Caenorhabditis elegans: one gene and its partners. The protein of the gene in region 1 purifies or fractionates together with the protein of each later gene. This does not show direct contact. Each region holds a gene or a part of one and is shown on either strand. Other genes may lie near its edges.

What was found. Proteins that work in one complex are often made in the same cells at the same time.
Region 2: the proteins of F21D5.7 (region 1) and emc-2 fractionate together in Caenorhabditis elegans (co-fractionation; one large-scale study listed by BioGRID). This does not show direct contact.
Region 3: the proteins of F21D5.7 (region 1) and nth-1 fractionate together in Caenorhabditis elegans (co-fractionation; one large-scale study listed by BioGRID). This does not show direct contact.

Annotation. Positions count from the first base shown.
Region 1 is NC_003282.8:8,740,983-8,745,565, forward strand, and holds F21D5.7 (Signal recognition particle 54 kDa protein), read right to left. Parts: upstream 2,723-4,583; 5' UTR 2,717-2,722; coding exon 2,547-2,716; intron 2,500-2,546; coding exon 2,310-2,499; intron 2,210-2,309; coding exon 2,030-2,209; intron 1,986-2,029; coding exon 1,741-1,985; intron 1,683-1,740; coding exon 1,495-1,682; intron 1,448-1,494; coding exon 1,374-1,447; intron 1,326-1,373; coding exon 1,047-1,325; intron 972-1,046; coding exon 807-971; 3' UTR 513-806; downstream 1-512. Other genes in the region: F21D5.6 (Ribonuclease H2 subunit B wHTH domain-containing protein), read right to left, coding at 1-48, 126-217, 264-399; F20C5.7 (uncharacterized protein), read right to left, coding at 3,429-3,641, 3,705-3,933, 4,056-4,211, 4,258-4,352, 4,412-4,583.
Region 2 is NC_003280.10:1,301,951-1,308,108, reverse strand, and holds emc-2 (ER membrane protein complex subunit 2), read left to right. Parts: upstream 1-1,972; 5' UTR 1,973-1,989; coding exon 1,990-2,026; intron 2,027-2,079; coding exon 2,080-2,213; intron 2,214-2,557; exon of another isoform or gene 2,558-2,608; intron 2,609-2,724; coding exon 2,725-2,913; intron 2,914-2,969; coding exon 2,970-3,053; intron 3,054-3,105; coding exon 3,106-3,264; intron 3,265-4,958; coding exon 4,959-5,054; intron 5,055-5,110; coding exon 5,111-5,215; intron 5,216-5,366; coding exon 5,367-5,447; 3' UTR 5,448-5,610; downstream 5,611-6,158. Other genes in the region: alh-6 (L-glutamate gamma-semialdehyde dehydrogenase), read left to right, coding at 94-552, 602-939, 1,508-1,724.
Region 3 is NC_003281.10:4,291,049-4,295,971, reverse strand, and holds nth-1 (Endonuclease III homolog), read left to right. Parts: upstream 1-1,770; 5' UTR 1,771-1,811; coding exon of another isoform or gene 1,812-1,960; 5' UTR 1,961-2,003; coding exon of another isoform or gene 2,004-2,132; 5' UTR 2,133-2,303; coding exon of another isoform or gene 2,304-2,558; coding exon 2,559-2,750; intron 2,751-3,140; coding exon 3,141-3,218; intron 3,219-3,265; coding exon 3,266-3,358; intron 3,359-3,661; coding exon 3,662-3,860; intron 3,861-3,908; coding exon 3,909-4,114; intron 4,115-4,159; coding exon 4,160-4,288; 3' UTR 4,289-4,375; downstream 4,376-4,923. Other genes in the region: R10E4.7 (GP-PDE domain-containing protein), read right to left, coding at 58-381, 433-561, 605-642; R10E4.6 (DUF1996 domain-containing protein), read right to left, coding at 830-874, 1,080-1,323, 1,392-1,647, 1,694-1,770, 1,812-1,960, 2,004-2,132, 2,304-2,564; DNA replication licensing factor mcm-5, read left to right, coding at 4,724-4,890.

The sequences.
Region 1 (4,583 bases):
ACTCTCACCGTAGAAGAATGATCGATGACCGTCGTTGACAGCGAAAATCTGCATAAATTTTGTAAGTTTATTCTCATTTAAAAGTTTATTCAGGTTTTTTGTGAAAGCTTGACCAATATTTTTACCTCATCAAAGCACGTTTCGGAGATTCTGAACAGCGCTAGTCCTTCCTTCGGGTGCCGCAGTTTGATGATTCGGCTATTTGGCAAATTGCCCTCTGAAAACAAAAACATTCATTTTTGAAATTAAATAAAGGAAATCACCTTTGGAAATGACAACTTTTCTCGAATAACTCTCATCGGATTCTGGTAATTTTGCAGGTTTAGTTTCTTCTAAAATCTCTTCAACAGCCTCTTCCTCGACGTCTTCTTTTTTTGTTTTTCTAGTTTTTGGTGGCATTCTTGTTCTGAAACTGATTTATTACAATTTGTAATTGATCTAAACTTATGGAAAATAGTTCGAAATTCGTCAAAAAACGAGAACAATGAGATAGAAAATAAACAGGCATATGTTTTTCAGTCATTTTTAAATGTGAATATTTACACCGATGAGCCAAGGGAAAAAACGAGTTTAATTCAGGAAAATTCAAAAGGGAAAAAAGAAATAAATAAATTATTCTTTAACTAAATTGTTTCTAATTAGAATCACAGAATCTGCTAGACAAAAAATGAACTTGGGAAACATTCTGATGAAAGGGAAATCGAGAAATCATATTGATATTATTAAAAAACGTTTTAGTCAGAATGAATTGTGGGAACTGGGAACAGGCATTTCAAAAACTACAGAAAATAATTGCATCCATTTCTTCACATTTTTCCAGCTCTTGCCATCTGCTGCATCATATTTTGAAGGCCTCCCATACCACCCATCTGCTGCAACACACGTGGATCCATCATTTTTGCCATTTGTTGATTCAATTGAGCCATTTTCGCTGGATTCATATTTTTTGGGTTTATATCACCGTTTTTGCCCTGCAAAATGAATTCATTAGAAATAATTATTGAAATTACAAAATTTCAATTTGTCGAATAGGAACAAAACTTTACATTGAAGAGTCCTTTAATTGATCCAATCTTCTTAACAACATCAGAGAATTTCTTGTACTGAGCGAGAAGATCTCGAACTTCTTGTTGATGAGATCCCGATCCTCTGGCAACTCTGGCAACTCTATTTGGTTCTTTTGTAAAGAGCTCAGATGCTTTTGGATGATCCAATTCCTTATCACTCATAGAATCCATCACAGTCATCATTCTCTTCAGCCTGTTGACGGATTCTTGCTCGTTTCCCTTTGTCATAAATTCTGATCCAAAACCAGGAATCATACCCTGAAATAAATAAGTATTCAGGTATCGTTATAAAACATTGAAACGAACCATAATTTGACTGAAAGGTCCCATTTTCATAATGTTTTGGAATTGCTCATACATGTCGCGAAGAGTGAATTGTCCTGGAAATGTTCTTTTCAGTTTTTGAAATTTTTGAAATCAAATTTACCTTGTTTCAGTCTTCCCACCAATTCTTTATTATCCTGAATTCCAATATCATTGACCATATCAACAAGGCCAGCAATATCTCCCATTCCTAGAAGCTTTTGAACAAATGATTTTGGCTTGAAAATCTCAAAGTCATCAATATGTTCTCCTGTTCCGATGAAGATTACTGGGGATTTGGTGACAGCGACACTGAAAAAAGTATTTGAGCAATTTCAAAACGATAAAGGATCTCGAAGTAAAAACTCACGCAGAAAGAGCTCCTCCTCCTTTAGCATGAGAATCCAACTTTGTAATGATAACACTGGCAACATCAACAGTTTGAGAGAAAGCACGTGCTTGGGCTTCACAAGCTTGTCCAATAGAAGCATCCATCACAAAAACAACATTATCTGGTGTAACTGCGTTGGAAACTTGGAGCATTTCTTCGAAAAGTGAAGCTTCTTGCTTGTGACGACCTGATGTATCAACAATGATGATTTCGAACCCTTCTTGCTGCAAAACAAATATTATTAAACCATTTTTCTGTGATAAATTACCGTGAATTTTTCTACTCCTTCGGCGGCAATTTTTACGGGGTCAATTTCAGAGTATGATCCATAGAAGGGAATACGAGCTTTTGTGGCATTTTGCTTTAATTGATCAAAAGCTCCAGCACGGAATGTATCGGCACAGATCAGACATGTTTTCCATCCTTTTCTTTGGTAGTAATACGCCATCTGAACTTGAAAAGTGTTGAAAAGTTGTTGGAAGTTTACTAATTAAAAAATATAATGTTTGATGGTGTGTGAGCTTTCTATTGTAATTCATGGAACGAACCTTGGTACAAGTCGTAGTTTTACCGGAACCTTGAAGACCAACAAACATGAAAACGTTGCGACGTCCTTTTGTTGGTGTGAAAGGAGTTACACCAGGATCCACAAGCTTCAGCAGTTCATTGAATACTGTCTTCTGAATGTACCGACGTTTGTTTGCTCCTCCGACGATCTCTTCGAAATTAATCGCTTTTCTGAAAATATTTATTAAATTTAAATCTTAAATAGCGTAAAAATTTACTTCACGTTGTCCTTAAGTTGCTTTACAAGACGAATATGAACATCAGATTCAATAAGAGCTGTACAGACTTCTTTCAGCATCAAATCCAGCTCCCCCTCATTGATAACGGTGCTCTGACCGAGCTTTCCGATCGCATTTCGGATTTTCCGCCCCAAATCGGCCAAAACCATTTTGAACTGAAATTTGAAATGCTTTAATTTGTTTAAGCATAGAATTAAACGCGTTTTAAATCGAGAGCACCATAAAAACAGTTTGGAGAAAAATCGATAATTCTTGTAGGAGATTCAGTCCCTGTGGTTTTCTTCGGCTTCCTAATCATTTTTTGACGACATAGTGGTATTTCACAATAGGTTTTTTCAAGACACAACAGATTTTTCACAAAGAGTAGAGAAGAAATGGAAAACTGTAGATTTCTTCTCGAAGAGCCGAGAAAGGCAAGGTATTGGAAGTTTAAAAAGGTAATGTTTCTTTATTCTTTTTTCAAAACAATAATAAATGGAAAATATATATTTATAGATAACAATTTCAGACAGTTAAAATCACGTGAAAAATTCAAATTTCAACACAAAAATTGACGAGTGGAACCCCGTTGTTGCGCCTTGAAGAGTAACGCTTGCGCGTTTGACGATTTTATTGACGCGTTTCTGGTGCATGCGGGAAATTTTTTATTTTCAACTTTTTTCCTGTTTGTTTATCCTTTTTTAATTGAATTCTCATGATTTGAAAGCTTTGAAAAATATTATTTTGCTCAAAAACATGCGTTTTGTAAAACATTGATTAGATTCAAGGCAATTAATGGATTTTTGCACGTTCCAAAAAAAAGGAAATTCATTTTTTGAAAATTTTGATAATTTAATAATGAAAAATGTTCCATAGATTTATTCAATGCCATCCTTCTCTATAATCTCGAACTTCCGCATCCTTCAACTGTGGTAGAGGTATTTGCAATACCATATAGTCGTAATAATAAACTTTAGTGAACAAATCCAAGACATCAGCTCTTGAGTAAATGAATGATTTATAAAAACTGCTGATTTTCTCGTAGGAAGAAAGAGAATCAGCTAATAATCCGTCGTTGTCTATTCTGTCAGGCCGCTTAAATGTTAAAAAATAAAAACGTTTTAAGCTAATTTTGTATGTCTAGAAACTCTAACTCACAAGCATTTCTGCATACGCCGGATTAGTTGGTTTTGCAAAAAGCGAGTAATCTACAAAAGTGAATTTTTGATTCATCTCTTCCATTTCACAAAACCAATTTTGTGGTACGTATTTCATATGATCTTCATCCACTTTTTTAGTTTTTGAATGTATTTGTGTGAGTTGTGTCCAGATTTGAATAAGATAACATCTCAGATCCAACTTGCAATTGAAGCAAGAACGATCTTCTCTGAAATTTTATATGACCTTAAACTTTATACTTTTGTAGTTTCGTCGATATCTGATCGTTCAGTTGTATAGGTATGTACATCTCTAGGTTTATGTGCTACACGAAAATATAATTTGTTTTACCTAACACACGCATCCATAAAATGATCTACAAATCGTTCAATTGGATCCTGTCTTGGAAATAATAATTTCCAATTCGTAAAGTTTGCATTCAACTCATTTTCTCGTTTCAAATCGTCGATATCCGCAAAATATGTTAGTGAATCACTATCACACACTCTGAAAAGCACAATATTCATATTTCGTAGTTAATAATGAACCTCACGATTCATCATTAAATTTCTCTTGGAGCCCGCATAATACTTGCTGCCCAATTAAAGTATCAGTTTCACAGATTGCAGTTCTATCATTTCCGATAGCCTCAAATAAGATTTAATCTTAAGCGAGTGTTCTGATCAATTTAAATATTTGATACTCACCGCAAGTTTCTTCGAAACTTGTTCGAAAGCTGGAATTTTAGAATATCCTTCAAAACTTTTTTCCTCGCCCTCATCAAGCCATAATAAGTTTTGATCAGCAATATATTCGAATAAATTAGTCTCTGATAAATCTCGTATCACAATCTTTTTTTCTACTCTAAAGAATACAATT
Region 2 (6,158 bases), on another chromosome or scaffold:
TTTAACTTTTTTTTTTGAGAAATCTATGAAATTCGCGATTTTAATGCCATTTTCCCCTCGAAAAAAAAATCATTTTTATCCCAATTTTTTCAGGGTAACGTCTCCCTCTGGAAGCCATCGAACACCGCCGTGCTCTCCAATTATATAATCTACGAACTCCTCGAGGAAGCTGGTATGCCACCTGGAATTCTCTCATTCTTGCCATCAGATGGCCCCGTTTTCGGTGACGTCATCACCGCATCTCCACACTTGAGCGCTGTCAATTTCACTGGCTCCGTGCCAACTTTCAAGACGATTTGGAGAAAAGTCGCCGAGAATTTGGATAACTATGTGACTTTTCCGAAACTCATCGGAGAATGCGGCGGAAAAAACTTCCACTTTGTGCATCCATCCGCCCACGTGGACGCTGTCGCCGCTGGAACCGCCCGTTCCGCCTGGGAATATTCGGGACAAAAGTGCTCGGCGTGCTCCAGGATGTACGCGCCAAAATCGATTTGGCCAAAGATTCTCGAGAAAATCTCGGCGATTCACAAAGAGATCAAGCTTGGAGATGTAGGCCACTGTTTGGCTTGCCGATTTTTGTGTAGTTTGTAGTTTACAGGTTCGCGATGGATCCGTCTTTCTGTCGGCTGTGATCGATGATAAGGCGTTTGCCAGGCTCAAGGCCTACATTGACTTTGCGAAAACCGGAGCCGACGGAGCAAATGTGGTGCTCGGCGGAAAATGTGACGACAAAACGGGATACTTCATCGAGCCGACCCTGATCACTGTGACGGATCCGAAGAGCAAGCTTCTCACTGAGGAAATGTTCGGACCGGTGGTGACGGTACTGGTCTACGAGGATTCGAAGGTTGATGAGGTGCTCGCGACTGTGAAAGACGCGACACCTTATGGGCTGACTGGCGCCGTTTTTTCGCAGGATAAGGAGTTCCTTTATAGGTTGGCAACTACAAAAAATACAAGTTTTTGCACAGGTTTTCAGGGACTCAAAAATTTTATCTAAAAACCCAGCGGAAAGAAGAAAAACTCGAATTTTCGGGTTTGTTATGTTCAAAAATGCTGAAATTCAACATTTTAGGCACAAGAAAACTGCCAAAAGTCGATTTAAAATTATTCCCGGAAAATTCGAAATCTTGAAATTCTGTTTTTTCGGCAATTTTCAAGAAATTTCTCTATAACCGAACAAAATAGGTTAAAAAATGTCGAAAAACGATAATTACACAATTTCTCCAATAAAAACCCTCGAATTTCGTCACAAATCAAATGAAAAGCTAGAAAAACTGGCAAAAATCGAAAAAAAAAAGCGATAACAACAAACAAAAAATTTGAAAGCGACAGTAAGATGTTCCTGAGCGTGGCGAGACCCAACAGTGAAAGTGTGTGTCCCTTTAAAGGGCTACGGTATTTTTTATTGGAATTTTTGTTGGATTTCGATCGATTTTTCGAGATTTTTGAGGCGAATTTTTGTGTTAAAAACGTTTTTCAACAAAGTGTTTTTTTTTCTCAGAGCTCGCGATGTTCTCCGCGACGCCGTCGGCAACATGTACCTCAACGACAAATCAACTGGATCAATCGTCGGCCAGCAGCCATTCGGAGGCTCCAGATTGTCCGGAACCAATGATAAGGCCGGTGGCCCCCACTATGGGCTCCGATGGACCTCGCCGCTGACGATTAAGGAGACGTCGGTGTCATTGACTGACTGGAAATATCCATCAATGGAATAATTATGTTGTTTTTTTCTTTTCATTTCCGATTTTTCTCATATTGAGAATATAGTTTTCTTTTTGATTAGGTCAACAATTATTGCTTTACCACTGAATTTTAATTTTTTTTCCCCCGTGATCGCATAATAAATTTTGTTTTTTTTCCTTTTTTCCAGCTATAACCGTTTATTTTATAGTTTTCTCGCTATTTTTATACCTTCCAACCGAACTTTTCCATTAAAAAGTTGGAAAAAATCAATATTTTTCAGAAATTTCCCTCCCGAAAATGGTTGAAACCGAGTGGACGCAAGTCTCTTACGATGGTAACATTCTACAATATTCAAATTTTGAAAAAAAAATCGATAAATGCTTGCAGAAGGACGTCAAGCGCTGAAAAAGTGGCGAGAATGCGGAGTTCGACGAAGTGATGAGGTCGTCGAAATTTGGGAGCACGTTATTTCACGCTCACCGGCTTCTCTTGGAGACGAGCAATGGGCTGTGTTGGAGCAGGTGCTGAAATTTTGTCGAAAAACGCTGAAAATCCTGAAAATCTGGCTTTGAATAGAAAAAAACCATAGATTTTCTGGTTTTTTTGGTGAAAAGCATATTGGTCTGCTAGACTACAAACTACAGTATTATATTTAGCAGACCCACGCTTTTTTCTAAGTTATCACGTTTCTGGTTGATTAATAGTGAAAATAATACAAATTTCGGCGAAAAACTGGAAAAAATCAATAAAAACGGTCATTTTTTACTGAAAAAATGATTATTTTCGAGAAAAAATTCAATAATTTGGGTCTGCTAGACTACAAACTACAAATTCATATTTAGCAGACCCAAGTGGTTTCGATGAAATTTGGTCTGCTAGGCTACAAACTACAAATTCATATTTAGCAGACCAATGTAGTTTTGAGGAGATTTGGTCTGCTAGACTACAAACTACAAGCTTCGATTTAGCATACCCATACTCATTTTTCACGAGAAAATCGAATTTTCACCTAATTTTTCCAATTTTTTTCAGGTGTGCATCGCAGCACTCGACGCGGCTCGTGTCGATCTGGCTCAGGATTGCATTGACCAACTTCACGCACAATTTCCGAAGAGTAATCGAGTTTTGAAGCTGAAAGCGATGCAGTTGGAATCTACGGAACATTATCAGAAGGCGTTGGATATTTATGAGCGACTGGTTGAGGATGAGCCCAATAATAATGTAAAAAATTCAGGAAATTTTTTTTTTGCAAAATTTCTAATAATTTGAATTTTCAGAGCTTCCGCAAGCGAAAAGTCGCGGTTCTTCTCGCTCAGGGAAAGCGTCTCGACGCAATTCGAGCTATCAACGATTACCTGAAGGTTTTCATTTGATTTCTAGAAAAAAAAAACTCTAAAATTTATTAATTTTCAGATTTTCCTGAACGACCCAGAAGCTTGGCTTCAGCTCAGCGAGCTTTTCCTGCTCGAAAATGACGTGGCAAAGGCGGTACATTGCCTGGAGGAGTGTGTGCTCATTTCGCCGCTGAATTCCATGTATTTCAGACGATTAGCCGATTTGAGATATACTCAAGTATGTGTGTGGAAAATTGGAGAAATTTGGGCCTGCTGGGGGCTACAAACTACAATTCATATTTAGCAGACCCAAATACATTTTCAATGGAAATTGGTTTTTTCTCGTTTTTCTACTTTTTTTTTTGAAGAAAAAAAATCGAAAATTGTCAGTTTTCCGTCAAAAAAATGTCAGAAAAACAAATTTTCAACGAAAATATATTATTTTAATGCAAAAAATGAAGAAATTTTTAAAAAATATAGAGAAATTACCGAAAATGATTGAAAATTGATTTTTTTTAAGGAAAACTAAAAAAAATTGAACGGTCTGCTACAATGCAAACTACAAAGTACAATGTTCGATTTAGCAGACCCAAGTGATTTTGAAAAAATTGGTCTGCTGGACTACAAACTACAAGTTTCGATTTAGCAGACCCAAGTGATTTCAATTCGAAATTGGTCTGCTAGACTACAAACTACAATGTTCGATTTAGCAGACCCAAGTGATTTTGAAAAAAATTGGTCTGCTAGACTAAAAACTACAATGTTCGATTTAGCAGACCCAAGTGATTTTGAAAAAAATTGGTCTGCTAGACTACAAACTACAATGTTCGATTTAGCAGACCCAAGTGATTTTGAAAAACTTGGTCTGCTGGACTACAAACTACAAGTTTCGATTTAGCAGACCCAAGTGATTTTGAAAAAATTGGTCTGCTGGACTACAAACTACATATTCATATTTGGCAGACCCAAGTGATTTTGAAAAAAATTGGTCTGCTAGACTACAAACTACAATGTTCGATTTAGCAGACCCAAGTGATTTTGAAAAACTTGGTCTGCTGGACTACAAACTACAAATTTCGATTTAGCAGACCCATGTGATTTTGAAGAAATTCGGTCTGCTAGACTACAAACTACATATTCATATTTGGCAGACCCAAGTGATTTTGAAAAAAATTGGTCTGCTAGACTACAAACTACAATGTTCGATTTAGCAGACCCAAGTGATTTCAATTCGAAATTGGTCTGCTAGACTAAAAACTACAATGTTCGATTTAGCAGACCCAAGTGATTTTGAAAAAAATTGGTCTGCTAGACTACAAACTACAATGTTCGATTTAGCAGACCCAAGTGATTTCAATTCGAAATTGGTCTGCTAGACTAAAAACTACAATGTTCGATTTAGCAGACCCAAGTGATTTTGAAAAAAATTGGTCTGCTAGACTACAAACTACAATGTTCGATTTAGCAGACCCAAGTGATTTCAATTCGAAATTGGTCTGCTAGACTAAAAACTACAATGTTCGATTTAGCAGACCCAAGTGATTTTGAAAAAAATTGGTCTGCTAAACTACAAACTACAATGTTCGATTTAGCAGACCCAAGTGATTTCAATTCGAAATTGGTCTGCTAGACTAAAAACTACAATGTTCGATTTAGCAGACCCAAGTGATTTTGAAAAAAATTGGTCTGCTAGACTACAAACTACAATGTTCGATTTAGCAGACCCAAGTGATTTCAATTCGAAATTGGTCTGCTAGACTAAAAACTACAATGTTCGATTTAGCAGACCCAAGTGATTTTGAAAAACTTGGTCTGCTGGACTACAAACTACAAATTTCGATTTAGCAGACCCATGTGATTTTGAAAAAATTGGTCTGCTGGACTACAAACTACATATTCATATTTGGCAGACCCAAACTATATTTTTTGCAGGGAGGCGCCGAAAACGTGGAATTGGCTCGTTCCTACTACGAACGTGCGCTCAAAATCAACCCAACCGATTTGAGATCTCAATACGGAATTCTATTGGTAAGTGTAGTTTGTAGTTTGTAGTTTGTAGTTTGTAGTCTATATTAATGTTTCAGAGCAACAATTTGATCGCGGCGACCACCAAAAATGCGACGGAAAAGAAGAAAGCCGGAGCTGCAGCAGTTGATGCAATCGATAATTTGGTTAATCGTTATCAGAAGGTAGATTTTGATAAAATTAATAGTTTTTAATTGGAAAAAGCTCTAAAAACTCCAAAAAATGCCGAATTTCGGCTGTTTTTTCTTGAATTTTTTGAAAAAAAAATTCGAAAAAAATCGTGATTTTTCTAAAAATAACCTTAAAAAATTCCAGATAAGTCCAAAAAGCAATCCAGAATCGGACGGAATTCTCAATTGCCTCGAAGCCATGAAAGTCACTGTTGGAAGCAAATAAATTGTCAATTTCCTCCCAAAAAATGATATGCTTTACGTACATTCCCCCGAATATTCGATTATTTCCTATTTATTTTCTGTTAAAATTCAATTTTTTTAATGTCTATCGAAAGTATATTTATCGAAAAAAAGAACTCCTCAAGAATAAATAAATGTGATGATTTTTGCCACCGTTTTTGCTCCATTTTAGAGTCTTGGGTCTGCTAAATAGCTTTTTGTAGTTTGTAGTCTGGCAGACCAATTTTTGATAGCAATTTTTAGACTAAAAACTACTTTTTTCTTGAAAATCTTGAATTTTTGCGTTATTTCACATCTATTCCGGTTTTTCCGGCTCCTTTTTGGCGCTGAAATCGATAAGTTGGGTTACTGTAGCCTCAGAAGTACGCAAACACCATGCGACTCACGCAAAAATGCACAGAAACCTGAAAGATGCGCGAAAAAAGCCATACATGGGTAAAAATTTGTGTAGAATTCAATTTTTGTGTCAGAATCGTTTAAAAAATCAGTGAAAAATGATAATTTTCAGAAATGTTGAGCCAAAAAAAAATTATTGATTTTTGTGCATTATCAGTTTTAAATTTGGATTTTTATGTTTTTTCACCCATACGAGACTTTTTCGACTCCATTCGAGTTGTAATAAAAATTTCCGGGTTACTGTAGCCTCAAAAGTACGCAAACATGGAACACTTTACGCAAAAGTGCAGAGAATTCT
Region 3 (4,923 bases), on another chromosome or scaffold:
GTATTAGAATTGAAAAAATAACGAAATAATTGGGAAATTTAAAAAAATTCCCCTCACGTTTCATAGTCCCTAAATCTGAGAGTTCTCGCCGCCAATGGTTGAATATCGTGTTCCAAAGAGTCTTGTACAGCTGTCCGAATACTACTATTCCACATAATATCACAATCATTAATTCGATGATAACTGATAATTGAATGAGTTATTCGTTGCTCCCGTGTATCCCAAATCATTGTAAATATCTCGTTGTCCAGCGAGATGACGTCATCGGTGAAGTTTCGCATCGCAACTCCGTCCACTGACTTTTCTTCGATTAATCGGGGAATCCATTGGTTAGAGTTGGTGGTGACTGGGTCGACGAGAAGTTTTGGAAGTGAGAATTTACTAAAAAAAAGAATTAAAATTAGAATAATTCTGTAGACATCCACAAATCACCTGTTTTTCAGTCGATGAAAACTTGAAAGTTTATAATCGTCTACTTTATCCTCCTTCTTTTCAAAGTCAATTAGAACACCATCAGCTCCTGAACATCGATTTTTTATATATCGATCACTGGGAAAGAATCTGAAATCACTGATATAATAGAGACATTGCATTGTTGACATACCTTGTCAGTCGAACTCGAATCAACGATCTGATCTTCATTTTTTGTGTTAGTTGGTTAGTCGTTAGTAGATTATAAATTCGGTAATAAATTTATAGTGGTAGAAATTAATGAGAATTATATCCACGAATCCGCGTGTACTGCGGAAATATTCATTTTATATTTATAAAAAATGTTACAAGTGAGATCAAATTTTTTTTTAATGTATCATAGAAGAGAAGCGCCAAATCAATAGAATGCTGCACATTTTACCGCATCCAATCGTTCCATTTTCTGAATTTGAAATAATTATTCATAGCTCCATAACGGTTGAGTAACGTGAATGATAATTCTGTTTTAAATTATTAAGACTAATTCCCCTATTTGAATTCCCTCCAAAATAAGAACTGCAAGACTAGCGATTTGATTTGAGCAATTTGCATCGCCTACTTTCCAACCAATCAAATTAAGTGTGCGAAGTTCGAAGTCGCCTACCTACCATATACTTCCCATCGGGTCTCTTAACAATCATTGGCTTGAACGAAACTTCTCTACAAACTCTCGTTGGTGGCGACAGAAACCGTCTTGTCATTTTGCCACGTAGCAATAGATCCGCCAATGCTTCAGGAATCTGATTTGATTTCAGTGCTTCTGATGGAATACTTCCAAAGCATCGATGAAATGCCTGTGGGACTCCATCAATGTCTTCGAATTGGAACTTCCATAGACAACATGGTTGTTCTCTGAATTTTAAAAAAATGATTATGATTAATGATTGAGTATAAGTTCCTGAGCCAGTTGGGCAACCTACATTCCAAGAGAAGGATCGCACTCCTTTCCAAATGTGATCCTTGGAAGTATGGACTTTGTGTCAAGGATTGCTCGAGCATCCAGATTCCGTGGTAGAAGATATCGATTGTTCCAAAAATCATCGAGAACCACTAGAATCTCTCTGATCCTAGACCTCTCATTATATGAATTTACGATAGAAGTTGTCCGAAATCTGGCATTTTCTCCCCAATCCATCGGTTTTGTTTCAATTGGGTGAATTTTTAGAAACGTCTCACCTGAATCAAGAGGATGTGATGAAGATCTTAAATCTCTGCAGTTCACCTTCATAACATACGTACATCAGTGGAGACCTACTTCCAGGGTCTCTGAACCATCGATCAGGAATATGAATTGTTAAACTGAACACGTGGGTTACTGTAGTTATATTTATATTTCTCACTTAACAACAGGAATCGGTATCTGTTTGATAGGGTTGAAGTGTATTCCATCTCGAAAATGAATCGGAACATGGAAGAATTGTTTCCTGGCTAGAGATCCACAAAAGTTCGAGACGTTGTCACCGGTAATCCGATCTCCGAGAAGAACAATCTGTAAGAGGTCTCATCTGGGAGAAGCTTATTTCAGTAGTTACCTTCTGTTCAGACTCTGCGATTCCTTGACTATAATAGTCGATCCCTTCAAGATTCTGATGAATTGCATCCGAAAATGCTTCTTTAACAACTTCGTGCAAATGAAAACGTAATTCGTTTTGATCATCATACTGAAACTTCGGAAAGATTTTAAGTATTACCCCGATCCAAATGTTTCGAATTAAAGTTATAAATACGGTACCCGGTTTCGACACGATTTTTGTCAAACTCGAGGAAACTACAGTAGTCCTTAAAGGCGCATACTAATAGCGCAAAATCTCAACCTTCGCTTACCAACTTACCCGCACACCTTCCTTTCTCTGCGAATCAATAATAAAATTCGAAATCGGCGTCATCATTCTATAACCAGTACAATGAATAATCAAACTAAATAGAAAGGCAGCTTGAAACATTTCTTTAATCTTCTCGCAACGAAATGTGCTCCGGCTCTCCAGGCTTATCAGTGTTAGAAGAGAAGAGAAGGATAAAACAACAATAAAAACAGTTTTCATTTGTCTCGTTTCTTGCTTCTTCCCCCACGATCTGCTGATCTGAAAATGCATTCTTTCAGTATGAAACGAGTTGTTGCGTCATCATCAGTAGCTGCTGTAGCAACATGTGACGTGGAAGGTACTGTAGTTGCCTGGAGACGTGACGTGGAATTAATTCGAAAAATGAGAAAGGATATGATTGCACCTGTGGATACGATGGGATGTCATAAGCTTGCAGATCCTTTGGCAGCTCCGCCGGTCTGTGTGGCTCTGGGATTCATTAACAAGACGCAGCGATTTTTGAGCCAGAAGTACGGTATTCGGTCTTGACATGATAAATTTTCGCTAAATGCAAAAAGGTGTGCGCCTTTAAATAGTACTGTAATTCAAAACTTTAGCTGCTATCAAATTTTAATCGATTTTTCATACATCAAATTTGAATAAAAACTGAAAAATCGATGAAAATCCCGCATCAACGACAGTTTGACATTACAGTACTCTTTGAAGGCGCACGCCTTTTAGCATTTGACAAAAATTTGTCGTGTCAAGCTTGTCTTGATCAAGACCGGGTACCGTATATTAAAATTCGCAACGCTTTGCGTCTGAGTGATATCTGATTTTTTTAAAAATAAAATCTGCGAGTTCCAGGTTCATCGATTTCAAGTTCTTGTTGCCCTGATGCTTTCCAGTCAAACCAGAGATGAAGTCAATGCGGCGGCGATGAAAGTTCGAAAAATATAAATTTTGATTTCAAGCATTTTTTATATTTACAGAGACTCAAGGATCATGGCTTGTCAATCGGGAAAATTCTCGAATTCAAAGTACCAGACTTGGAGACGATTTTGTGTCCTGTTGGATTTTATAAAGTACGGTAACTCGAAATTTAAAATGCAAAAAGGTGTGCGCCTTCAAAGAGTACTGTAGTTTCAGAATTTGCGGAATTTTTATTGTTTTTTTTTCGGTTTTTTTTTTTCAATAAAATTGTTTACAATCAAGGGAAAACTGAAAAATCGATGAAAATTCCGCAGCAACGAGAGTTTGAAATTACAGTACTCTTTAAATACGCACATCTTTTTGTATTTACCAGAAATTGTCGTTTCGAGACCGGGTACTGTATTTTTGGTGTAAAATTTCGCATCTTGGTAATAATCTAAACATTTTCTTTCCAGAGAAAGGCCGTGTACCTTCAAAAGACTGCAAAAATTCTGAAAGATGATTTTTCTGGCGATATCCCTGATTCCCTGGACGGACTGTGCGCACTGCCAGGAGTTGGCCCAAAAATGGCGAATCTCGTCATGCAAATTGCTTGGGGAGAATGTGTGGGAATTGCAGTCGACACACATGTTCACAGAATTTCTAATCGACTCGGTAAATATTTTTTAATTTCATTTTAAAAATGAATTTTTGAATTTCTAGGCTGGATCAAGACCAGCACCCCAGAAAAGACACAAAAAGCGCTTGAAATTCTACTTCCAAAGTCGGAATGGCAACCAATTAATCATCTTCTCGTTGGATTCGGTCAGATGCAATGCCAACCAGTTCGTCCGAAATGTGGAACTTGTCTCTGTAGATTTACGTGCCCCAGTTCCACAGCTAAAAATGTGAAGAGCGAGACTGAAGAGGTTTATACCTTTTTATAAATAAAAGACAAGCGGATTTTTTTTCAGACTTCCACAAGTATCGAGGTTAAACAAGAAGTTGAGGATGAATTTGAAGATGAAAAACCTGCGAAAAAGATTAAGAAAACCAGAAAAACTAGAACCAAGATTGAAGTGAAAACTGAATCGGAAACGTAGCAAAGCAAGTGTCAAGCAGAAAATCGATAACTGATCTCTAACATACATTATACATGAATGAATAAATTAATGTTTTTATTTAAATAAAACTGGCAATTCATCTGGTTTCCTATGTTTCATGAAACACAGAAGATCCAATAAATCCATTATATAAATATTGATGCACTTTGCGCGTCATATTCACTGTCTGTACGTGAGCGTGTTTGCGGAATGTGAGGCGCGGGCGCCAAAAATTTTCAAATTTGAATCGCATCGTTTTACCGCATTCTGTTTTATTTCCATATTTTCATCCTTTTTCTATTGTTTTTTCTTGTTTTCTTCATAATTTTTTTTCATTTTGAAGAAGAAAACTGAGTTTTCCTTCTCAAAACATAATACTGATTGTCATATCCTTGTTTCAATGGTTTAAAATTTCAGTAATCCACTAACACCAATATGTCTAACCTCGACAACCCCGGAATCTACTATCAGGAACGATTCTTTGCGAATGACGGAGTTCCAGATACTGGAAGAGAGTTGATCGCTGAATATCGTCAGCTTATCACTCAATTCCGCAATTTTATCCGTGATTTTTCCACTGGAGGCTTCGGAATGATTTACAGGTTTGTGCAATTACTCTGATCAAAACTTCTCTC